Danio rerio: one gene and its partners. The protein of the gene in region 1 interacts with the protein of each later gene in a pairwise test. Links are inferred from orthologs where the notes say so. Each region holds a gene or a part of one and is shown in the gene's direction. Other genes may lie near its edges.

Region 1 (3,996 bases):
TTCCAGTTCACCAGCTCTCAAATCAGTGGGTCCACAAGTGCTAATGAGATCATTAGTAAAAGACATTCCTAAAAACGAGGTGTTAATGGTGGGCTTTTTCTGATGGCTACACCTCAAAACATAGGTGGCCCTATACATCTTGTTAAAAGAATATGGTTAATATTTGTTGGTTTAGCTTACTTTATAACATCATAAGTATTTGAATGTTATCAAATTTCATTTTAAACAAACACGTTAGCAAATAGTGGATTCTTAAACGGTAAAAGTGTAAAGAGCTGTTTATTTGTGGCTCAGAAATGGGGATTTAGCCTATGAAAACAATAAAAAGTGTAATAAAACAGTTGTACAAGTAAATAAATACATCTCTCAGAATGTGATATATTTAATCCAAAAAAATATTTACCTTATTTTACAAAAGACATCTTGTACGCATATATATTTAGAACATTTTGTGGCTTTTTATGACCAAAGCAAGTGTGAACCAAGACAACTTTTGACAAGACTACATAGTTATTCATTTAGACTATGTGCTAACCTCCTTAATATTAACTCATACTGTGGTTTTGGTAGACAATTTGAATGGACTGATAGTTTGAAACATATTGTCAGGACTCTATAATGAGTGAACATGTATAGAGAAATGAAAGGGTTTGAGATAAACATGCATTAGAAACAGAAACACATTTTCAGTTTAAAACAAAATATAGTTCACAAAAAAAATTTATAGATATCCACAAACATTTATACAAGTATGTGGCAAAAAACGAATTAACGTGCAACAAAATACAATCAGATACTCTGAAATTAGAAACCAATACATTGGCTAATTGTATTGAGTTGAGAACGATGCCTAACTGCACGTTATCTTTCGCTAACGTGTTTTCTACTTATGCTTTATGAAAGTTAGACTGTTTAATATTTATGCTGATAATCGTGCAAGTGCTACATTTGCAATTCACATAAGGAGTGAATGTTCGCGCATCACCTGTCTCGCCGGAACGACAAATCCCCTGAAGTTCCTTACGGACAAGATACATTGTAACAAGCAACAGTGCGGTTGCAACGCGAATCGCTTCATTGTAATATTAATGTAAATATCTATGGTATCATTATACACATGTATTCTTTTGTCATGTCGTTATAACTGGAAGTCCGCGTAAACCTACTGTATATACACGTATATAAGGAAGGAAAGAATGAATGAAGAAAGCGCTTCGTCTGAATATAAAGTGATCACCCCGTCCGGAAACCAATGTGTTTACACCAGCTGTTACTGGTAAATGCGATAATACCTGTAACATTATTTCAAATTTAAAACGTACCGTATTCATACACGTATTTAAATGTTTGTTGCAGTGAGGAGAATGTGTGGAAATTGTGTGAATATATCAAGAATCAGAGACATTGTCCTTTGGAAGAGGTGTATGCAGTATTTATATCTAATGAAAGAAAGAAGGTGAGCTTCATCTCCACACAAGTATTTTACATTTAATGAAATGTACAGTTTTCTGTTATATACATACATACACACACACACACACACACACACACACACACATACATATATATATATATATATATATATATATGTATATATATATATATATATATATATATATATACATATATACACACACACACACACACACACACACGTATACAGTCACCGGTCACTTTATTAGGTACAGCTTTCCAACTGCTGCTCAACGCAAAAATAAGCCAATCACATGGCAGCAACTCAATGCATTTAGGCATGTAGACATGGTCAAGACGATCAGCTGCAGTTCAAACCAAGCATAAGAATGGGAAAGAAAGGTGATTCCAGTAACTTTGAACCTCGAACCTTGAGGAGATGGGCTACAGCAGCAGAAGACCACATGGGTGCCACTCTTGTCAGCAAAGACCAGGAAACTGAGGCTACATTTCACACTGGCTCACCAAAATTGAACAATAGAAGATTGGAAAAGCGTTGTCTGGTCTGATAAGTCTCAATTTCTGCTGCAACATTCGGATGGTAGGGTAAGAATTTAGCGTCAGCAACATGAAAGCATGAATCCATCCTGCCTTGTATCAACGGTTCAGGTGGTGGTAGTGTAATGGCATGGGGGGTATTTTCTTGGCACACATTGGGCCCATTAGTACCAATTAAGCATTGTGTCAACGCCACAGCCTACCTGAGTATTGTTGCTGGCCATGTCCATGCCTTTATGACCAGTGTACCCATCTTCTGATGGCTACTTCCAGCAGGATAACGCACCATGTCATAAAACGCAAATCATCTCAGACTGGTTTGTAAAACATGACATGAAGTTCTGTAATCAAATGACTTCCACAGTCACCGGCTCTCAATTCAGTAGAGCACCTTTGGGATGTGGTGGAATGAGAGAATCGCATCACGGATGTGCAGCCAACAAATCCACAGCAACTGTGTAATGCTATCATGTGAATATGAACCAAAATCTCTTGAGGAATATTTCCAGTACCTTGTTGAATCTATGCCACAAAGGATTAAGGCAGTTCTAAAGACAAAAGAGGGTCCAACCCGGTACTAGTAAGGTGTGCCAAACAAAAGGGGCCAATGAGTGTATATATAGTATGTATGTGTGTTAAAAATTGTGTAATATTTCAGATACCTATTTGGAAACAAAAGTCCAGTCGAGGGGATGAACCAGTAATTTGGGTAGGAACTTTATATGTATAAAAACTATGCATATTTTATGGTAGTCTCTAATTGATATAAAAATGTTGTTTTCCATTTAGGATTACCATGTTATTCTTCTACACGCAAGTAAACAAGGACCGAGCTTCATTTACGATTTAGACACCATTCTTCCATTTCCTTGTTCGCTTGACGTTTATTCAATGGAGGCCTTTCAGTCTGACAAGCATTTGAAACCTGCTTACTGGAGGCAAGTATTATCTGGTCTAATCTGCATTCTACAAAAGATGAAATAACATAAGTGTAACAAGTACTTAATAAATTTATAAAAGAAAAGCACATCATAAAATGTGAGGACAAAATTGAATGAAGATTTTAATATGAATTAGTATTTTGAGGCTGCATTGTTATCCATTTAGTATGGCCTCACATTATTCTTGTTTTAAATATAACTTAGTATTTTAAACTACTGTTACACTTAACTACATTTTAGAGGTCATCTTATGTAAATTGTGGTGATGGACAATAGTCAATTAATTTACTTTTGCATTAAATAATATTATTTTTATATATATATTTTTTAACAAATGCTTAAACTCCTTTATGTCTTTGACCCTTATAATAATAATAGCCAGTCTTAGTTGAATGTAATCAAAGTGTTGTTTGCTCTTTTAGGAAACTTCGAGTCATACCCGGGGACACTTATTTGAAGGAGTTTGCTTCTGATCGGTCTCATATGAAGGACTCCGATGGGAATTGGCGTATGCCACCTCCAGCATATCCATGTTTAGAGACACCAGGTTTGTTTTCTATTGCAGATTTATATACAGTAAATACTATAATTTGATTTCTTCTTCCACTTTCATGTATAACGTGTCCTTTTCAGAATCCAAAATGAATCTTGATGACTTCATCTGCATGGATCCCCGAGTGGGATATGGAGAGGTTTACAGCCTTTCAGACTTTGTTAAACACTTTGGAGTAAAGTAATGCTTTTTTTCCAGCACATTTTTTGTTGTTGTTGTTGAAAAATGTACATAAACAGAGCCTCAGGGAAAGATCCTATTATGATGGAGAATGCTGCAACTAAGCAGGCCTCAAAAGACACATTTATTGACTCTGAAATTATTTTTACTAATTGAACAGTTGGCAATGTGGCTTAATTATAGTCAGGTAGAAAGGTCACAGAAAAGAAAGCCATTGTTGTCATTTGTCGAGGATGTGTATTATTTTTATAAAGAAATCAGTTACACAGATGTACAGATAATAAAAATGCAGAATTTAAACAAACAACCAAACCGAAATGCGAAACTGTGTAAGCAGTTGTAGTGCTGTAG
Region 2 (3,978 bases), on another chromosome or scaffold:
AATTTTCACATATTCTATTACATTTTCACATATGACACAATGACTGGGTTTGTAAACAAAAATAAAAAAATCTGAGAACAAAAATCTAAGAACCAAATGATTTGTCAGACAAATTCCTTTCCTGAACAACTCACAAAAATCCACTATCAATCCATTTTAGAAATTGTTGGGATGAAGAAGTTTTTATTCACTGCATTTATCTTTTTATTTCAGAGACAGATTGTATAAGTTTCTGGTAGAATGTATAAATAATCAGTGTGGGTATAAATATCTGAGGTTTATAATGCGAAACTTGTTCCAGACAACAAAGATGGTATTCTCACAATCACAGCTGAAAGCTAAATATAGTTGGATCAGCACACATGTAATAAATTCCTGTTGTATTATAGTGTAGCTTGTCTGAAACAAAGCATATATTTTGAGTTCACATTTTGGATATTATTCATGTTAAAGTAAAACAGCTGAATGTTTTTTTTTTGTGTCTGCTGCACCTAGAACTTTAGTTCTCTGCTCCCCAAACAGCAACAATCAGATTGTGTGAAAAAAAAAAACTGTGTCAGTGCAGATGTGTTTGGTTGCTCTTTTCTGTCTGTGGAAATATCTGGGTTCTCTTTCAGACGAGTTGTTTTGTAAAAACAGAACAAATCTCTGGACTATGTTGACAACATTGTTGTCACAAGGTCTGTTTGCATCTTGTTGATGTAGCTGGCCTGTATAGGCCAACACACACAATAGCAGCTAACTTAAAATAGCGTTTTGCTTAATCGTTCATATGTTTAATCTGTAGTAGGTTATATTTTATAATTAATTTATGTTCAAAATTAAATCTGAAGTCGATTTTTATAAATATAAAATTTTATACATTTAAAACTGGGAACCAGAAATCTATGCCCTGCCTTTTTCGTCTCTCCTTCAATGTCAAATAATAATAACCACGGCGGACAAAAGATGTTATTCTGAGTGTTTGCTGCCACAGTTACCGAAGGCTATAATAAGAAACACCCCTCAACCAACACAGTTGGTCGCACTCGGCTCCACTCGGGCCTCTTCGGAACTCTTCGTCGACCGTCTCCTGGAAACCCCCCTCCCTCCTCGCCTCCGCCCATCCTCGCCAGACTCTCTGGGCTTTATGTCTGGCCGGGTGGACGTGAACTGCCATGCGCGGTCGCCATGTTATCGCGCTCTCCTCCCCTTTTCGGGGACTCGTCACAGGCTCATAGCACTAGCACAGGCTACATTACAAGGAGGCAGCTGGTGAATAGGAGCAGAGTGGGAGAGAGACATTGCGCTAACACAGGAATAAAACAAAAGAAAGCACGGGATGGAATAAAGCAGGACAGCGCTGAGTTGCTCGCTTTCTCTCTGTCATCTGACGCCGGCTGGAGGACTTAGTTTCGTGTGATTTCGTGCTCTGGTGACTGCGATACAACAATTGAAAATGCGCCTGGCAGTTTGAACTGTGATGGGGAGAAACCGTGTCGTTATAAGGTTGGATATTAATCGCCTCGGCCGTCTGTGTCGACTCCTGCACGCTTAAACTTCACCGATATGGTGTGCTGAGTGATTTAGTGAGGATATACCTTTGAAAACAACAGCCGAAGCGAATCCGTGTCGGCTAGCTCGCTAGCGACTGTTAACTTAGCATTGGCATTAGCCTGCTCCTCATGGTGGACATTTAAATACACCTCAAGTGGAATTATTGTGGCAGTTAGAAGAACGTGTTGGTTTTATGTGGAAATTACTCGAACGGCTTGAAGTTGCTTTCCCAAAAGAGCTTGTTCTCTTGAGCTGCGTTTATAACTTTGTCAGAGACTATACTCCAGCAATGAATCACCACGAACGATCCGGAGACTCCGGCAGCGCCCGAAAAATGGTTTACCCCATGAGTTTACCCAGACGGGAGAACAGCAGCAGCACAGTAGGTGGTTCCTCTACATTGACAACTTCAGCAAGCACCAGCCTTAATAGCAACAACTTGATGCTGGCGGATGAATATTCCCCACCAGTGCTGATTCAGTCTCAAACGCAGACTGCGTCCTCGCTCGGGCCCCAGAACCCTCCGCATAGCCTGAGTATCCCCTTGCAGACACCCATGTTACCCCAAACGTTGCCCACTGCAGTTGCACAGATGAAGAAGAAGAGTGGCTTCCAGATCACCAGCGTCACCCCGGCGCAGACATCTGTGAGCACCAACAACAGCATTACAGAAGACACAGAGAGTTGTGACGACCTGGATGAGTCCCACACAGAGGACTTGTCATCCTCTGAAATCATGGATGTGTCTCTTCCACGGGCCAACAATTCAGGAGGTCCTGAAAGAAGCTCCTCTGAGGAGACGCTGAATAATTTTCATGAGGCGGAGACCCCTGGTGCCCTGTCACCCAACCAGCCACCCATTATAACCCAAGCACACCTGCATGGCACCATGGTTAACGGAACTGTTCACCACCACCATCACCACCACCACCATCATCACCATCATAATCCTGTTTCCTCTGGAAAAACCCATCCTGCTGGAGGGACACTGATTGGGGTACCTTTGGGTGCCCCGGTCACATCTGTGGTGACCTCAAGTTCGGCTAGCACAGGCCAGAAAATGCCTTCAAATGTGGTGGGATTGATTGAGAATGCCTCTGTTGGCACAACTAGTGCCATCGGACAGCCTTTGGCTACTCTCGCCTCTGGAACTGGAGTGATTTCTGTGACTTCAGGTGCCACGATTAGTACTGGTAATACTTTAACTAATAATGTTTCCGTGTTAAACTCTGCCAGTGTGCCTGTTGTGGGTGGCAAGACTACCAATAGTAGCAGTGTAAACTACTCCTCTGCTTTGAATAGTATTAGTAACCAAACCCCAAACTTGACCCACGTTCCCAGTGGAATAATCGGCATGGGCATCACCGCTGCTGCCACGGTTTCCGGTAGTGTTGCGTCAACAGGTGGAGGGCAAATGGGGCCAGCTGTCATGGGGCAGCATGCAATGCCTGCACCCTCTGTCCCAGTGATGAGCGCTCAGCCTCAGCAGGCCCAAGTGCCTACTCCTGCCTCCACCAGTTCACGTTTCAGAGTGGTCAAATTGGACTCTACCTCTGAGCCTTTTAAGAAGGGTAGATGGACTTGTACAGAGTACTATGATAAGGAAGCCCCAAATGTGGCATCCTCTGAAAATGCCCCTAGCACCCGAACAGTGGAAAGTATCCGTCAGTGTGTGCCTGAAAGTGTGGCGGGACAGGACCGAGACACAGTCAGCGGGAGCTCTGTCAGCAGCTCAGCTAGCCATTACACTGAAAGTCTGGGCAGCGGTGAAACGGGCGGCCCCTCTACTGTGAAGCAGACCTTCCAGCAGCCCATGTCTCAGATGCAACCCCAAGACTTAGTTCAAGTGCATCTTAAAACGAATGCAGCAGCTCCGATGCCGGCAACAGCAAACATTCAGCAGCAACCGCCTGCATCTATCGGAGGATTGCAGACCACGATTGTTCAATCGTCTGCACCTCTACCCTCTCATATGCCCAAACTGACATATGCCCAAGCAGCCCAATCCCCTCCTGCTCAAGCTCTGCCTGTGGTGACCCAGCAGCAGATGGGCTATCCGCCCGCACAGCAGCCAGCTGCACCAGCCCAGGTAGCACCAACACATGTTAACCCCTTAAGCCAGGGAGGCAGCCTGCCATCTGACTTCTCCCAATCCAAGCAGATCCTGAGCACTGTGCCACCTGGGTCAACAAAAACTCTGCCCCACCTGTCCGCCTCCATCCCTCCTGTGGCTCTCGCTGGTAATGGTCAGATGATCACACCCTCCTCGCAGCCCCCTACTGCTCAGCCACTTCCGCAAGGGCTCCTGCAGCCACAACAGACACCCGCCCCGCAGATGGTCCAGGTTGTGCCGCAGCTGGTGCAGTCCACTGGCACCACTCTTATACAGCAGACACCAGGCCAGCAGCTCACCTCACAACCCTCCATGGAGCAGCAGCAGCA
Region 3 (3,201 bases), on another chromosome or scaffold:
AACCTGTGCTGCTCAAACCTAGAGAGAGCCGACCTGTCGGGAGCCAACCTGGATGTGAGCCCTTTATCTCTTGCTCTGGGACAAATCTCCTTCTTTTTCATCTCTCAGTTTGTTAAATGATCCTGTTCTCCAGGGTGCTAATCTTCAGGGCGTGAAGATGCTCTGCTCCAATGCGGAGGGAGCGTCTCTTAAAGGATGTAACTTTGAGGATCCCTCTGGACTTAAAGCCAATTTAGAGGGTAAAACTCCTGCATATTTAAATCCAGTGTTTATTTTATCTAGTAGAATTAAGCTGATGGACCCTTTTCACATGACATATTATGACACATTTAACGTCGTCAGCACCTTGAAGGTTTGGAATGTTTAGATTTTAGATTTTTTTTAAACGTGTGAACATTTATATGTGTTTATGAATATTTATTTACCTATATTTACATACACTGTATAAAAAGGCACATTTAAAAAACATATTTTAAAAAAAAAGGTTTTTTTTTTTTTTTACTAAACTGTTTCTCTTTTAGGTAAGTTAGAATTATTGAATTTGTTTCTGTTCTGCTTAATAGCAGAATAATGAGAGAGAGATTTTTTTGAGAAATTGTTTTAACTTTTATTGAAATTCAAGTTCACATACAGTAAGATTATTCTGCCTCTGAAAAACCTCACATGATGCTGTCAAGGTTTTGGAAGTTTCTGATTGGCTAATTGACAACATTTGAGTTAATTGGAGTCACAACTGTAGAATAGTATTTAAGGAAAACCTCAAACACACTGCTTCCTTGTGTGACAACATGGGAAAATCAACAAGCCAGAATCAACAACAAAAAAAAAAGCCAGATTACAATTTGCTAAATTACACTGGGAAAAGAATATTTTATAGAGGCATGTCCTGTGGTCTGATGGAACTAAGATTGAACTGTTTGGCCATAATGACCAGTGTTACATTTGGAGGACAAAGGGGAAGCTTACAAGCCTAGGAACACCATCCCAACTGTGAAGTATGGGGGCGGCAGCATCATGTTGTGGGGCTGTTTTGCTGTAGGAAGGACTGGTCCACTTCACAGCATAGATGGCATCATGAAGAAAGAACATTATGGAGAAATACTGAATCAACATCTCAAGACATCAGTCAGAAAATTAAAACTTGGCCACAAATGGATCTTCCAAACAGACCATGACCCTTAGCATACTGCCAAATGAGTTAAAATGTGCTTTAAGGACAACTGAGTGAATGTTTTGGAGTGGCCATCACAAAGCCCTGATCTCAATCCTATAGAAAATGTGTGGCCAGAGTTGAAAAAGCTTGTGCGAGCAAGACAGCCTACAAATCTGACTCAGCTACACCAATTCTGTCTGGAGGAATGGGCCAAAATTCCTGCAAACTATTGTGTGAAGCTTGTGGAAGAAAACCCAAAACATTTGACCAAAGTATACAGTTTTAAAGCAAAGCTAAAAAAAAAAAAATACCAAGGAAATGTGTTTAAACTTTTGACTGTCTAGAAATAAAAAAAAAAAATCTAAAAAAAAAAATCTTATTAATCTGGTATTTAGCAAATGTAAATCATTTAGGTAATCCTAACGGACCTAAAATAGTAAACATTTAGTATGATTTAACACCAGACATTAAAAAAAATGGCTATGTTCCTTTTTTCAGAGTGTATGTAAAATTCTGGTTTCAACTGTATTTGGACATTGACACAATTCTAACATTTTTAGCTCTATACACCAGCACAACCGATTTGAAATAAAACCAACAAGATGTGTTTTAACTGCAGAGTGTCAGCTTTAATTTGAGCGTATTAACATCCAAATCAAGTGACCGCTGTAGGAAGAGTTTGCATATGCGCCTCCCACTTGTTAAGGGACCAAAAGTAATCAGACATTTGGCTTCTAAACTGTTCCATGGTCGGGTGTGTGTTATTTCCTCATTATCCCAATTACAATGAGCAGATAAAAGGTCCAGAGTTTTTGGGTGAACTGTGCCTTTAATGTTGAACTGCCATGTTTTAAGCAATGTTTTTGCTGTGCGCTTTAGGGGCTAATCTGAAAGGAGTGGACATGGAGGGCAGTCAGATGACTGGGATAAATTTGCGTGTGGCTACGCTGAAGAATGCTAAGCTAAAGAACTGTAACCTGCGTGGTGCTACATTAGCCGGCACAGATCTAGAGGTGAGACGGCAGTGTTGATTGAATGTTTGAAAATGTTTAGAGATTTTTCAAAGGAAGAAGAAAAATATGAACAATTAAAGTCAGAATTATGAGCCCTGCATATTTTTTCACCAATTTCTGTTTAACGATAAGATTTTTTAAAACACATTCCTAAACATGATAGTTTTAATAACTCATTTCTAATTACTGATTTCTTTTATCTTTGCCATGATGATTGTAAATAATATTTGACTAGTTGTTTTTCAAGACACTAGCATCCTGCTTAAAATTACTCTTGATTATTTGATTGTGTGTTCAGAACTGCGATCTCTCAGGCTGTGATCTACAGGAAGCCAATCTGCGTGGTTCAAATGTGAAAGGAGCCATCTTTGAGGAGATGCTGACTCCGCTGCACATGTCTCAAAGCGTGAGATAACCACTTACTCTGCTCACCGCCCGGTAAAAGCCACCAGCCAGCTCCTCACAGCACTCTCTTACCCACAATCCTTTTCACGCTCCTGTGAAAACTTATGCAATACTAGCACTTGTTTTGCCAGCCCTCTTTGAGCTTTACTCACTGCAAAAAAAAAAAACTAAAAGAAATTCTACTTGCTTAGGATTTTTGTCCAGTTTTCGGGCCAGATATCTAAAAATTCTTCAGTCAAGAAGCACTTTCTACACAAATTCAAAATATTGTTTTGTTTTCAGAATCAGTAAGTCAGAATTATCTGAGTTTTTTTTTGTTAAAACTAGCTAAATAATCTTCCATTAGGGTAAATAAAATGTTCTTATTTCAAACTGAAACCAAAATTGTTTTGCTTATGCCATTGGCAGTTTATTTTGCTTGATTTAAGGTAAAACATTTGTTATAGTTACTAGTTACTTCTCATAAAAAGTAAGTAAAAAAAGTTAGTAACTGGATTACATCATTATAAAACTAACTAATTACCAGCGAAAGTAACTATTGCGTTAATTTTTAAAAATGTCCAAAAAGTGACCGCTGTATGTTTAATAAATTGGACACTAAAATAAATAAATTATTATAAATAAAACATT
Region 4 (3,500 bases), on another chromosome or scaffold:
TCCACCCAAACAGCAACAGCACCATCAGCCTCAGCACCAGGAGCCTGGACACTTCCACCCAGACCACCGCGGTACAAGCCAACCAGCCAGGACTGACATTCCTCATGTCCGGTACCAGCCACCACCTGAGTACGGCTCTTTTCGGTGAGTGTGCCTTAAAGGCTAAGAAGTGGGCTGAATTTTGGGACTTTATGGGAACTGGTGCGATGCACCTTACAGCGCATATTACATTCCCTGGCATATCAGTTGTTAAAAAACTTCAGGTGATGAGTCTCAAAACAGCCCTTCCCTTAAATGCTGGGACATGTTGTCAGGAAACCTGTTATGGGAAAAGCAAGTTTTGCCTGTTTCCCTGAATTCATTCACTGTAGAGCAAGTGTGTGGCATATAGCAAAAGTATGCATATCAAATTCAAATAATCATCTACAACATGTCACAGCATGACAGTTTGTCCATTATTGTTGTAGAGAACCAGGAATGTTGACCTGTGAAAAATATTTTTGTGAACGGTTGGTATGCAGTACATAGTCGTTTCACAACAGTGACTGAATGTCTTGAAAGAAGCCGTTGGTTATGCAAGTTTAAATTTATTTTGTAGGTCACAAAGTTCTCTAGAATTTGTCTACTACTCTTGCAATCAATCAAGATGTGAGTATAATTCATTATTCTGCTCCTCAATAGGTCAAGTAAGGAGAGTTCAAGCCACTCTCAAAGGTCCGTCCATCACCACAGCCCTTCATCTTCGGTTACGTCTGGAGGCTCTCTCTCCCGTGCTCAGTCTTCCACTCTCAGCAGCATCTTGGCTGCTTCCCATGCGCTTCCACCAATGGGTCATTCGGGAGAGCCACCCTTCCCCATAGGTGCTCGAAGCTCACAGGGGCCTGGTTCTCACCAAGGTGATCCATACGGCCCAGGCCATCCTCCTCATCAACGGAGCCACGTGTTTCCACATGATCATTATGGGTCAGCTCCAAGGGGCCTCCACATGCTCCAGCACCAGTACCACCAACAGGGCCCCCAGCAGCAGCAGCAACAGAGTCCAGCACAACACTACTCACATCCACTCTCCATGCAGGGGGATCCTTATGCCATGCTTGCCCGTGCCCAGCAGATGGTGGATATGCTGTCTGAAGAAAACCGCTTGCTTAAGCAAGAGCTGGAGGTGTGTGGGGAGAAAGTGTCCAAACTACAAAAGGTATGACTGTCTTTGAAGTTTCTCATTACATTACCATTACACAATCAAATATTTAATTGGGGACCCTTGAGTAAGTGAGATAGAGAAAGACATGTTTAATGCTTGCTCAATTTAGGTCATAACCTGTACCACATCCACTTAAATGAAACCATTTCCATGTCAGTGCAAATGTAGGTCAGTTCAGGATAGGTCAGTGTTTTCAACTTTGTTCTTGGAGGCACAGCAACAGAAAACATTTTGGATGTGTTGGGTATCTGATTATTCTGTTTCTGGAGTCCTGTAGATTCTACTTACAAGCTGATGAGTTGAATCAGGTGTGTTTAATAACAAAGATGTTTAAAAGTGTTTGGTGTTTCTATGGAAAAAAGAGTTTATAAATATTATAATAAGCTCTCAGATGACCAAGGATCAACTCTGGCATGATAACCATCTAAACTTTTGATTCAACAAGCTTTGAAAAGATTTTTAGGTGACACATCAAGAGTGACATCAACATCAAGAGTGACACATCAAAAGTGGAAGGCAATGTTGCATGCTATGTTTTAGTTGTACAAAATCTGTTTTGTTGTTTCTGTGAGGCCTCAGCAATGTAATCTCTTTACAGATGGAGACTGAGATCCAGATGGTGTCAGAAGCTTACGAGAACTTGGCTAAATCATCCACAAAGAGGGAAGCTCTTGAGAAGACCATGAGAAATAAGCTGGAGATGGAGGTGCGCAGGGTGCACGACTTCAACAGGGACCTACGAGGTGAGAAACATAGCAATATATCGGAGTATTCTGAAAGTATTAGGAGGAGATTATTATGAAAGGAAGATTCATGAATTGTACTTTACCACTATACTACACCTTTTAGCAGTAAAATTGTCACTGATCTCAAAACATGTTTGTGTTGTTCTTGGCTTAAATTGCTCTACCAATTGTGGTTTTTATCCCCTGAGACCTTTTCTTGTAACATAAATATGAGATCTCAGTGACCCTTCATAGACAGTAATGGCCCAGAGACATTCAAAGCCCAGAAAATTCACCGGAAACATTGCCAAAACATTCAGAGTGACATTCTCAGTGGTTTAACTGTAATCATACAAGGACACTTGTATAAAAACTTTAAATATTACTTCACCTTAAGCTATTTGTTTAAATACCTTTACTCCCACATCAAATCAGTGTGCATGTTTAATACAGGCAGTGCTATGTGTTGCAGTTGGAGTCTGCAGAGCAACTAGGGATGCTCATTTTGGTTAATTTTGCCAACCAGAAACCGCTGCTTGTTAACTGAATATTAACCATTAACTAGTCAGATTAATATCAAATTATTATTTAATTTAAAACAAAATAATTAACGTGTCTATTTTGTTTCTGACACAATAAATATTGCATTTTAAAATACTGATTGATTTTAACATGTGAACATATTATCAACAGAACATTTTCACGCACCTGCAGTGTTTTCGCCAGTATAGAAACAAGAATAAGCTAAATAAAAAGAATAAAACAAATAGGTCTACCTATTTTTCACTTAAATTACAAATTTAGATTACAAAATGAAAACACTGACTGAATCCTTTTTAAAAACCAGCATCGGCTGTTTTTTTTGCCATGTTTTTTCTTCCAAGAAATAAAAATATCAGGCTACCTAAAAGCGCTCTATGGAAATGTGCATTTATATAATGCTCCGCTGTAATTCTTATATCACAAACCACTGTCTACATTTGTAATAGAAGTCATTATTTTAAAGATTATGTCTTGAGCGTCAGGTTTTACCTTAGAGCTTGTTTGCTTTTATATCCTCTCTTACTCACTGTTCATGTGCGTGCGCTGCGTGTAGTAAAAGTCAAGGACAAGGTGCATATGTTGACTTTTTGTGTGTATATATATATATATATATATATATATATATATATATATATATATATATATATATATATATATATATATATATATATATATGTATGTATGTATATATATATGTATGTATATATGTATGTATGTATATATATATGTATGTATATATATATGTATGTATATATATATATGTATATATATATGTATGTATATATATATGTATGTATATATATATATATATATGTATAGGGTTGTAACAATATACCGGTATGACGGTTTACCACGATTTGAACGTGCACGATTATCATACCATGAACAATTGCATATCAACGGTTTTAACCCTTAAAGACCGAGACAGCCGCCCGCGGCTAAAAATAAGTATTGCTCTTAAATGTTTAATAACTTTTGATCCGCTGATCCGATTCATACAATTCAAAGATTGGCATAAAGAAGAGAGTCTC
Region 5 (2,693 bases), on another chromosome or scaffold:
AACAATTCTAACTCATGAATAGCAACTTATCTCGCTAGAAACTGGTGAAAAGAAAAGTAAGGAAAAGAAAGCTCTACAGTGTGATGCGCCATATTCTTCCCTATACTAAACTGTAGAAAAAAATAATAAAAAGCTGATGTTTACCTCTTACTTGATGTCTTTAACAATACATTTTCTACATGTTTGCTAAATGAAAGTTATATGACATCTTCTCTATTCACCTTACTCTGAGAAAAGAGTGAACCTGAGGAGGTAGGCCTATAGCTTAATTTGACGGGAAAGAGCTGAACCAAAAATTGCAAACAATCTAATCAATCAAAATGAAATGAAACAAATAAAAATCACAACATTTTTCAAAGTGGGCAAAAGTAATGCAACTTCATTTTACCAAAACGAAATTTATGCAAAAATCATAATCATGTCAGCAAAATACATTGAAAACAGGATCAAAGGAAATAGCGCTCCTCTTCGCTTTTCCTGACGTCCATTTTATATCACCACTCCACATCGCCCAATGATGATAGATCGGTCTCCCCACCATTCAGCTGTCATGAAGGCAGACCTACAGAAATGACAGGCATGGGGAGAGCGAGAGATTAGCACAAAGATCAAGCCTCTCACCTGAGAATGTGAACATCATGGTGTTTTGAAGAAGAACTTAACTTAATTGAATATTACAAATGTCCTTAGAAAGGACAAGCCTGTTTATCTTTTACTAGTCTACACTGCAGTTATTTATTTTATTTCAGTTTACTTCATTAAGATGGCTGCACTAAAGAGAATATTTTTTTCTGACTAGTCTATATTGGAGGTGTTTATTTAATTTTTCTAGTTTACTCGGGTATCCGGACTGTTCAAAAAATGTGATGGCAAAGTTAATAAATTAAGTGAATCTGTTGTTCCTTAGCACTGCTGTTAAGATGACATGAACCCTAACCCCACAGCAAACAGAAACCGAACCTAAACAAAACCAAACCGTGGCTCTAAAACCGTGAACCTAACAGAATCGTGCCATCGGTGTATCGTTACACCTCTAATATATATATATATATATATATATATATATATATATGATTTTTTTATTTATATGTATTTGTGTGTGTATTGTTTTATTATTATTATTTTATTTAAATAAACAAGGCAAACTTAAACAAAAACTATGTAAAGCGTCATGTGTTTGATAAATCATATTATGCTTTTTTATCCATTAAGGAACTGGAAAAGAAATTTCAGCAGACAGCTGCGTACCGCAACTTGAAGGAGATTCTCAATAAAAAGAATGAACAGATTAAAGACCTGAGAAAGAGACTACTAAGGTACAGTTAGAATTTATAATAATATAAATATAATATATATTACAAATATAATGAGTTCTATATAATATACCAATTATTATATTATATAATTGCTCAGAAAATGATATTGTTGAAAAAAAATAATTAATGTACAGTTGTGCCTTATTTTCTTTTTCAGATATGAATCAGCTGAGTGAACAAGCAACCCACAGGAAACTCATGAAGAGGTCATAAAGAATTTTTAAGCATATTTAAGCAAGCTGAAGTCTTTTTTTCTGTAAAGGGACACATTTAAAAAAAACAGGACCAAATTATGAGAAACAAGAATTTGCAAAAATAAACTGTCATCCCCATTGATGAGATGAGCTTTTTTGGGTCTGATACATAAGTTACACAATGTTGTAAGTTTTGCTGCTTTACACTAGATTAGAAATACTTCACTCAAACAAGAGCACAATTGATTGTAACACTTTAGTTGATCACATTCCACACTATAAACAATTTATTAACTAGCACTATTAGATTAATACACTACTAATTACCTGTTTATTAATAGTATAGTAGAAGTTGGGGATTAGGATTTGGGTAGGATTAGGAATGCAAAAGATTGTACTTTGACTACGAATGAACAGTTATTGTCTTAATAATAGACAGGTAATAAGTCAGTAGTAAATAACATGAATTGTGACCTAACTAAAGTGTTACCCAAGTAACTAGTTTTTCATTGTAGGGCTTGTTACTCAGATGTGATTTTTACATGTACCTAATTTTTACATTGAAGATTGTGGGCTCGCATTACTAAGGAGAAAACAATGTCCAGTGCTTTTTTCATGTTTACCTGATTAATATAGCTTCACTTCTGTCAGTTTCATGTTTCTGAGTAAAAAATAGCAATTGATATGTGCACATTGTTTCTTTCCATTTTCTTTTCTTTTCTTTTTTTTTTTTTTGTAAAGGTGTAACATTTAGGACTCCTTTTAATGTCTATTAAAGGATTTAACCTGTTATCATATAATGTATTCATATATATATATATATATATATATATATATATATATATATATATATATATGCATACATATTTCTGTCTGTCTAGCTGTATCTATTGCTTATTACCTCTGAGTGGTAAGGTTCAGTACTGTGCACATTTATTTCCTTTTCACTATCAAATGTACCAGAATAGCAAAAAAGCGCAGATTACTTTTTAGGAAATTAGCAATCCTAAGGGCAACTATAGCTCAACATTACAATACTAAGGATAAAAAATCTTGAGCCAGAACTTTTTTGGAGGGGGAGGGGGAGTATTTATTGTTATTATCAGCAAATATTGCTGATAATAACAAACATACAGTAATAAGAGCTTAAAGTGCTTAAAAAACTGATAGACTCTATTCAGTG
Region 6 (3,983 bases), on another chromosome or scaffold:
ATGCGAGTGTGTATAGGTGTGTTTGCATGCAGCAAGTTTATATGTATGTGCGTGTGTTAATGTGGGTGTTTATGTGAGGATCGAGTTTATATGTATGTGCGTGTGTATGTGGGTGTATTCATGCGTCAAGTTTATATGTATATACAAAAAGTTTCATCCATGTTGTTTTGAACATCCAGTAGTATAGGTGTATATGCAAGTAATTTATAGGTGTATATACACGTGTTTTATGTATGTGTTGATAAGCAATTGTTTGATTTAAATCCTATACGGCACCTCATATGCTACCACTGATCTATATACACTTTTTGATAAGTGGCTGCTTCATATTTTTGTTGAAGTAATAATATATTATTTAAAAAAACTCCAGCTCTTTTAGTCAACACTGATATAACATTTTTTCAAAAGAAAGAAAAAATACATTCATAATGTTACAAAAGATTTTATTTCAAATAATTCAATCCTGAAATCACAGCAAATCAGCATACTAGACTGATTCTTCAAGGTCATATGACACTGCAAGCATCACACATTGTGCTTAACTTAATAAAGTGGTGATCGCATAAAAATGATTTCCCAACCCTGAATTACGCATATCTATCGGCCACTGATGCTTTGCAATGGGAAAATGTTATCAGACTTATCTCTTGTGCAATATGGAATTACGTATGTGTGTGTTGACCTATATATTACATGACTACCGACATTCCGACAGACTTAACACTGTTGAGTAACAGACCCAGACATTCAACCTATATGCCAGGCCCCTAGACAATTCACACAAACACATTTAGTTAACACAGGAAATCATTGATCTCTTTTCTCAAAACAAATACACATCAGTGAAACACGCAAAACAAATCCTGATGTTATATCACACACGATGTCCGGTCAGTTAAAATGTTTTTTCCACCAAAACGCCCAGCATAAAAGTGAATAACACATGATAGTCTGATGACACGCTGACTTCTCTGGATTTATATGCATGCATTCTTTCAAATCAGCCCTTTTTCTCGCTATAGTCCCGAATTGCTCGTTACAAAACTCCGAGCTTCATGTTTTGTAATGCGCCTCGGCTGCCAATGGACGCGCTCGCTCACGGTCACGTGAGTGTATTTTTACGTAACTCGCGGACAAAACGCCAGTATGTTTAGGAGCGCGAGTCACTACGTTCTTCTACACTGTTAACCGTAAGAATGCTTTGACATTTTTATCATTTATTATATTTTGCCAGTTCAGTGGGCGTCGCTCGCAAACATGTCGTTGCGGAGACTAGACCAAGACTACGCTTTGGAGGAGAGAGGACGGTTTTTTATACCATCCGAAACTGAAGGCGACTGGGACGTGGACGAGCATGTCGATCACCGTCAACTTGTTTTGCTCAAAGCTGAAGCTTTAGCGTCGGAAAACCGTCTCAAAGAGGCTGTCGATATGTTCGCCATGGCTCTCAGATACGGTCCTGTCAGGCCGGAGCAGCTGAGCAGTTTGGTCGGATGCGTCCTGCGCAACTTCAAGAAGAAATCAGAGGAGTCGCCAGCGAGAAGTGAGCCGAACTGGACACAGGACTGTGAATTAGACTGCCCTGGTTGCCACTGTTTCATAGCCGAGCCCGTGACGGTGACCTGTGGACACACGTATTGTAGGAGATGTTTACAGCATAGCACTTTTTCTCAATGCAAAGTGTGCAACGAGGACATTAGGAGGAGGCCAGGTGAACCCCGGCTGAATGTGATATTGTGTGGACTTTTAGACAAGTGGTTTCCAGAAGACGTCAAAAGAACTAAATATTTAGGGGAAGCTGAAAGCCTGTTGAAGAGTAAACAGTACGACAAGGCGATTGCACTAACGAGTCGGTTATTAGACTATGGTAAGTTCGCATCCTCCTGTTTTATTGTTGTTGTTATTATTATTGTAAAATATATGCACTGTCGGAAGGGTAATTGGGTCAAGTTTTTATATTATTAATAGGAGGTTTAAGGAGTTCCACTGACCAACATTTGGATGGCCAGCTGTAACTTACATATTAGCCCCGCCCCCCGCGGTCATGTAACAGGAGAGTGGCTGCATTACAAAACGTGTTCGCATGGCGCATGCGCACTCGCCGCGCGTTGTGTAAGGCAGGTCGTGACACAGAGAGTGTTTTGTAATCTGAATCAAAGTGAGTTTTATAATAACAAGTAGAACAGTGCGTTATAGCCATAATGTTCTATTGTTTATTCACGAGACCGATGCGTGAGGGCTGTCATGTCCTGTTGGTTGAATAGTAACCTAAATCCTAAAACGCTTTTGGTAAACAACAGCTGAAAAAGGTTGCAATGTCAAAACAGGCATGAATTGTTACTTTGTATTTAACGTTTTTTATCAGTTTTTACCTTTTATGAGTGTATTTTTGGGTGTTTATGCTAACAACTAAGTTTATCAAAAGGCGTAATAGAAGTGCAAGTTGTATACCAAAATTCAAAAGCAGCTGGACTGAAAAGACTGCAGACTATATATATATATATATATATATATATATATATATATATATATATATATATATATATATATATATATATATATGTGTGTGTGTGTGTATATATATATATATATATATATATATATATATATATATATATATATATATATTTACACACACACACACACACACACGTATGTGTGCGTGCGTGTGTCTGTGTGTGTATATATGTGTGTGTGTGTAATATATATAATTTATATTCATTTTCATTCATTTATTTTGTCCTATTTAGATCCTGAATACCCATATATAACCATGACACATTAAGTTCAGTATGTTATGTTATGGAGAACCTTGAATTTCTATTCCAAATGTCTGGATGTCGACAAATTCCTCTATTCGGGTTATAAACAGTATTACATTACATCAGCTGGTGATTCCTGATTTAAAAGAGATAATCTTTGTCCTTTTTATATGAGTTTATATAACTTTTCTCACATCAAAATATTCTTATTATTATTATTTAAATGCATTGTTGATTCATAAAAATCAAGTGGCAGGCAAGAAAACATTGAGTTGCATAACATATATATAAGGTCATCTTGTGTAGTTAAAATTGGAAGGACTTTTTTATTTAGTAATCACACTGTGTTCTGGGCACATGTTTTGATAAAAGTGTGTGTTCCAGATAAGTAACATCATTGAGCAAATCAGAGGTACAGTATAATCATGGTGCGGCAGTCTCATCTTCACTGCTGTGTCCTCATTTACCCTGCTGGAGGAAAAAAACAAGGCAGCCCTGCAGTGTCACTCAGTTCATGTTCCCTTGTGGCATGTCGGTTCACAAATGTCTCTCGTTGATCTTCTCATCTTACACATCATAAAATCTCGGGGATCACGAGTATGAAAATTAATGACACAGCGCCTGTCAGACTGTAGAGGCAAGATAGTGCAGCTGGATAGGGTAAAAAAAGGCAACAGCTAAGAGTTATTACTATTTTTTTTATTTTCGATTACATTAAGATTTTCAAACTCATTTTGCATTGCAGCTGTATAAAAAGTTACATTTTAATCAAATAAGGCATTGTTTTGTTAAATATGTGCTTATTTTCATACTTTTCTATCACAAGCATCTGAGCATTGATTGAAGTCAGACTGAAAATTCCTTTTATTATTATTTTTTTGACATATTAGAGAAAAAAGTTTTTAAAGAAGGGATTTGAGGAGTCTTTTATACATTTATACACTCACCCATCCTGTCTGTCTGTCTGGCTATCTCACCATCTCTCAATAGTTACATTACATATGCAATGTTGAGAGTTTATATGTTGGGATTGTATTTGAGCATAATGATAATTGGCCATAAGTTCGCAAAACACGAGGTTTGTGGAGTTTAACCATAATAAAAGTTTATTATTTGCGTGTGTTTTTAACACCTGTGACTTTGCATCCCCATTTCTAAATTTAGTAAAGATTTATTTTATTTAACTATGTACAATGTTAAATCTAAAATAAAATTAAATCT
Region 7 (4,072 bases), on another chromosome or scaffold:
TACATTTTAGAAAGTTATCGGGTACTCGGGTAAAAATCTATTTAGAATATTTTATACATATTAAAGAACCTTAAATAATTTCAATTATTGTAATTTACTGTTTGTTTGTGTTAATGTAATATTTGTGTTTTTGCCATAATGATATGGCAATAAAACAATAAATAAGTACAATGTTTACTTCACAAACTGTAGTATTTACTTTTAAGCTACTGTTGAAATGCTTATAATTTAAACAAACAAATGATGCAGAACAAAGTGTTTCTCTTTTGTTAATCAAACACTCGTTTGGCTCTGAAATATTTCCGTCATCTGTCATGTTGAACGTTTGGATTGGTTTATTTTCAGATGTAAATATGGCAGCTGAGAGACGACAGAATAAATCCAGATCAAGTCCTCCACGCAGGTAATGTATCGCTGGGATCTTTTTGCTACTGAAGACGACATCTATCGAGAATTTTGGTAACCGTTTTCCCCTCCACACCGGAATTCACCAATATCGCAATATCATTGTCGGGTGCGCAAAATTGGTTCAGTTTACATTTCTCGTGGCTTTTCGCTTTTTAGTTTGTTCAGTTTTTTTTTTTTTTTTTTCTTCCAATTTTCCTTTTAGTTGTATCAGAATTAATTGAAATAAAGTTGAAAGGGTAATTTGAGTGCATTTCCCTTGGTGTGTTCTTGTCTAAACGGTGTGTTATTCATTCTGTTCACTTACTATGCACGGTTTTCAAACAGTTACGGGTTCTCGACACTCCAATTATCACTTCCTAAAACATAAAAAAAAAACAATTTCATTTACTTGAATGGGATGTAAAGAACTGAACAGTAATTTAAACAATTTCAGTCGTTCACTTAATGGCTGGATTTCTAAGTAAGATTTTGGAGGTTGTCAGGTTGGTGTGTATCTTCCAGTCACCACCTTTGTCTGTTCATCACCTCTGCTTTAAAACTATTATTTTAGCAAATCATTTTGCTGACGTGGATCGGAGTGGAAGCAACAAAAATGTGCTGTTTGACTTTGTTCAAATGCATTTTATTTAGCAAAAAATGTAAATAAAAACTGTTTATGACTCGTGGAAACTAAATATTAATGATTATCACAAACAGATGAGGTTCGACATGTAGTTTAATTTAGGAAAGGGTTATATTTAGAATGTGCGACGGTTCGTTTTATAAAATAAATGACGTGAATTTTGCGACGGGCATCACTCATGCTTGTACGGTACAACAAAACAAAATGTTCATTGTGTAATTTTACCATTTGATTTTAATCTTGTAATCATTTTGAAGCACTTCAAAGTAAATTTTAGTAGTCTTAATAGAGATTAGTTTTGGGGAAACGTGTTTAGTTGTCATGTGTTGATTGAGTGTATTTATTCTGTTCAGGCCATCCAGCTCTTATGGGGAGAGTCGCGAGCCCCGTCCTCGCTCTCGGTCCCCGGTGCACGCACGAGATTCTCGCTACCACCGTGAAAGTCGAGAGATGAGGGCCAGCAGCCGTGAATCGCGTCCCTCTTCTACACGTGAACATGAGGATAGACCCCCAGCTGAAGAACGATACAGGGGGTCTGAGAGCAGGGAGAAAGAGCCTTCCTTAAGGTGCACAAACAGGACATATAAAGGAGTCATGAACTGAGAAACCAAAATACCCTTGATCTTTTGACATATAAGAGGTTATCATACTATTAAAACATCCAAAAACATTTCAGAACTCAAAACTGAAAACTTGTGGCTTGTTTAAAAGCAGCTTGCATTAAAAGGCAGTCTAAAGAAACCACAGGTTCTGGAATGTTCTCCTTTATGATGTAATAGGGTGGATAAGCTTTGCCTCTGTAGAAGGTTGACTTCTGATTCACTGCCTGTTTAGCCCTGCTAATATTCAAAAATGTTAGCCATCAGAGCAGTGGGCTTTATCCAAAAAGTGTACATCCATTATCAGAAAACAAACAATGCTTTCTGATGAAAGGGTCAAAAACAGGACAGAAAAAAGCCAATCGCTTTTTTAAAAACTAAATAGTGAAGTTTTTATTAAAAGTCATTGAGTGGATCTCAGTAGACAAGAGTGCAAAAAAAGTAGTTCATGACCCCTTTAAGATTGATTTGGTAATTTTGTTCCTAAATTTAAGTAGTTTTCCTGTCTAAATGTACAGTGTTTTTACAGAGAGGAAGGTTATGATCGTTATTATCGTGGAGATTACGATTATTATCGGAAGAAAGACGAGGCATACTCGGATCGATACAGAGACCCCTGGAACGGCAGAAGAGAGCCAGAGGGTGGGTTAATAACACTTTTACTAATATTTTTTATTCTTAAAATAAAATTGGTTTGTTGCATGAAGTAAATTGACATTTTTGTGACAAATGTTTACACCAAGTAGTGATTTTCGTTTGCTGCATAAGTTGTAATGAAAATATGGTGCTGCAAGTGCTACTCTAATTTTTCTGTTCAAATAACTGACAAATGACAAAATGGGTAAGGTTAGATATTAAGATATTCATAGAAATGATTGGTTTTAAACAATTTTTTCTTTTAGAAATTGAGTGTTTGCATGAAGTGAAAATGACTATTAATGGATGACCAATATGATATGACAGCAGGGCTCGAAGTTGCGACCATTTTGGTCGCATACGCGCCCGACATTTAATCTATGCAACCTCATAATATATTTGCGAGCATTTGTGCGACTGCATATAATGGGTGTAGTGCGACCTGTTTAGATTTTTTTTTTCTAAAAACGTGCTGAATCGCTCTTCTCTGCCGCTATATTGGTTCATATTAGCTGTCAATCACTCAAGACTTTCCGCTGTCAGATGACTGGGAGCTTTTGTGACCGCGGGTAATTCAAACGACTGAAGAGTGAAAAGTACACTGAATCTCGATGCGTTGCATTCACTACGTGTTCAGCACAAATGTACGATAAATGTAAAATCTAACACTTTACACACCATCACCAAAGAAGCTCAGCTTTACTAAGTTTAAACTGATGCGGCTTATAACAAAGAGCGGTATTGCACCAGTGGTCATCGGGAAAATCCTGCTCTGCCCCCTCATATATTGCATCGGCTGACTCACCTGCTTTCCACAAACACAGAAAAATGAAAATCAGCTCATAACGAAACTGAACATTAAAATGACACAAACCCAAACTTTTAAAAGAGAGACTTTTCTTACTTTCTTTTGTCTGTTCTTTCGTGAGATGTATATTGTTTTTCTATTTAGTTACTGTTGACTGCTTTGCAGCTTTTAGCATTGAATGGAATGATTTATTATAATCTTTCGTTTGTTTTGTAGCAGAAATAGTATTTATTAAATTGACACGCATATGAAAACAATAGTGCAAAATAAATATTTCTTACTCAAATGCTTCTTTTGTGTTTGATGCAAACCATACATGTGTTTTTCATAAATTAACAGTGGGACTTTTATAGCAAATAACTCGCACTCAAGCACATTCAAGGCTGCATCATAATGAGAAATGTAAAGCATTGTTAGCATCATTGACATCATCGTTATCATTAATATTTTATAATTATTAGACATTCATTTTGGAATTATTGCACAAATATTAAGTCATCACAGCATTAGTTAGATAGTTGTTTCTGCTTTTTGTTAGTCCTAATTGATGTTGTTTTCAAATACAATAAATCCCTTAATATACAATTTGCAATGGTGCTCATTCATTTTTGGTGGGTGCTCCTACATTTTTTCTGAGGCTTTTAAATATTTAAAGATGGGAGCACCAGTGCTACCAAGTAAAAAGGTTAATTTAGAGCCCTGGACAGGGCTTCTCAAACTTGGTCCTGGATGGCTGGTGTCCTGCAGATGTTAGCTCCAATTTGCCTCAACACACCTGCACAGATGTTTCTTGAAAGCCAAGTAAATCCGCGGTCACATTAGAGTTTGAGCTTGCGAAATTCTGTCGTACAGAGCAGCGATAAGGGGTGGGATTAAACAAGATGATTAGACAGTTATAAAAGCAAGCGATTGGTCCATATTTTACGTTTCTGTGCAGAGAGGTCATGTTTGAATTTTCGATTCGTCTCGCACAGTCACGTGATGCAATTTCGCATGTCT

What was found.
Region 2: the proteins of ntaq1 (region 1) and tsc22d1 interact in binary tests that used the Homo sapiens proteins (3 or more experiments, as listed by UniProt). The two-hybrid records come from large-scale screens. The link is inferred for Danio rerio from reciprocal best matches to the Homo sapiens genes NTAQ1 and TSC22D1.
Region 3: the proteins of ntaq1 (region 1) and kctd9a interact in binary tests that used the Homo sapiens proteins (3 or more experiments, as listed by UniProt). The link is inferred for Danio rerio from reciprocal best matches to the Homo sapiens genes NTAQ1 and KCTD9.
Region 4: the proteins of ntaq1 (region 1) and amot interact in binary tests that used the Homo sapiens proteins (3 or more experiments, as listed by UniProt). The two-hybrid records come from large-scale screens. The link is inferred for Danio rerio from reciprocal best matches to the Homo sapiens genes NTAQ1 and AMOT.
Region 5: the proteins of ntaq1 (region 1) and lztfl1 interact in binary tests that used the Homo sapiens proteins (3 or more experiments, as listed by UniProt). The two-hybrid records come from large-scale screens. The link is inferred for Danio rerio from reciprocal best matches to the Homo sapiens genes NTAQ1 and LZTFL1.
Region 6: the proteins of ntaq1 (region 1) and lonrf1 interact in binary tests that used the Homo sapiens proteins (3 or more experiments, as listed by UniProt). The two-hybrid records come from large-scale screens. The link is inferred for Danio rerio from reciprocal best matches to the Homo sapiens genes NTAQ1 and LONRF1.
Region 7: the proteins of ntaq1 (region 1) and ncoa5 interact in a two-hybrid assay, tested with the Homo sapiens proteins (3 studies listed by BioGRID and IntAct). The two-hybrid records come from large-scale screens. The link is inferred for Danio rerio from reciprocal best matches to the Homo sapiens genes NTAQ1 and NCOA5.

Annotation. Positions count from the first base shown.
Region 1 is NC_133194.1:37,454,721-37,458,716, forward strand, and holds ntaq1 (protein N-terminal glutamine amidohydrolase), read left to right. Parts: upstream 1-1,196; coding exon 1,197-1,276; intron 1,277-1,356; coding exon 1,357-1,456; intron 1,457-2,629; coding exon 2,630-2,680; intron 2,681-2,760; coding exon 2,761-2,909; intron 2,910-3,334; coding exon 3,335-3,459; intron 3,460-3,545; coding exon 3,546-3,649; 3' UTR 3,650-3,665; downstream 3,666-3,996. UniProt on the Homo sapiens protein: Mediates the side-chain deamidation of N-terminal glutamine residues to glutamate, an important step in N-end rule pathway of protein degradation.
Region 2 is NC_133184.1:20,416,153-20,420,130, reverse strand, and holds the start of tsc22d1 (TSC22 domain family protein 1), read left to right. Parts: upstream 1-1,178; 5' UTR 1,179-1,729; coding exon 1,730-3,978. UniProt on the Homo sapiens protein: Transcriptional repressor. Acts on the C-type natriuretic peptide (CNP) promoter. Acts to promote CASP3-mediated apoptosis.
Region 3 is NC_133183.1:61,414,462-61,417,662, reverse strand, and holds the end of kctd9a (BTB/POZ domain-containing protein KCTD9a), read left to right. Parts: coding exon 1-54; intron 55-133; coding exon 134-239; intron 240-2,032; coding exon 2,033-2,166; intron 2,167-2,464; coding exon 2,465-2,581; 3' UTR 2,582-2,701; downstream 2,702-3,201. UniProt on the Homo sapiens protein: Substrate-specific adapter of a BCR (BTB-CUL3-RBX1) E3 ubiquitin-protein ligase complex, which mediates the ubiquitination of target proteins, leading to their degradation by the proteasome.
Region 4 is NC_133196.1:41,177,330-41,180,829, forward strand, and holds part of amot (angiomotin), read left to right. Parts: coding exon 1-144; intron 145-681; coding exon 682-1,195; intron 1,196-1,799; coding exon 1,800-1,944; intron 1,945-3,500.
Region 5 is NC_133199.1:12,588,448-12,591,140, forward strand, and holds the end of lztfl1 (leucine zipper transcription factor-like protein 1), read left to right. Parts: intron 1-1,212; coding exon 1,213-1,316; intron 1,317-1,473; coding exon 1,474-1,492; 3' UTR 1,493-2,193; downstream 2,194-2,693. UniProt on the Homo sapiens protein: Regulates ciliary localization of the BBSome complex. Together with the BBSome complex, controls SMO ciliary trafficking and contributes to the sonic hedgehog (SHH) pathway regulation. May play a role in neurite outgrowth. May have tumor suppressor function.
Region 6 is NC_133183.1:15,527,518-15,531,500, forward strand, and holds the start of lonrf1 (LON peptidase N-terminal domain and RING finger protein 1), read left to right. Parts: upstream 1-1,183; 5' UTR 1,184-1,257; coding exon 1,258-1,867; intron 1,868-3,983.
Region 7 is NC_133181.1:58,120,957-58,125,028, forward strand, and holds the start of ncoa5 (nuclear receptor coactivator 5), read left to right. Parts: upstream 1-1,272; 5' UTR 1,273-1,383; coding exon of another isoform or gene 1,384-1,480; coding exon 1,481-1,596; intron 1,597-2,158; coding exon 2,159-2,271; intron 2,272-4,072. UniProt on the Homo sapiens protein: Nuclear receptor coregulator that can have both coactivator and corepressor functions.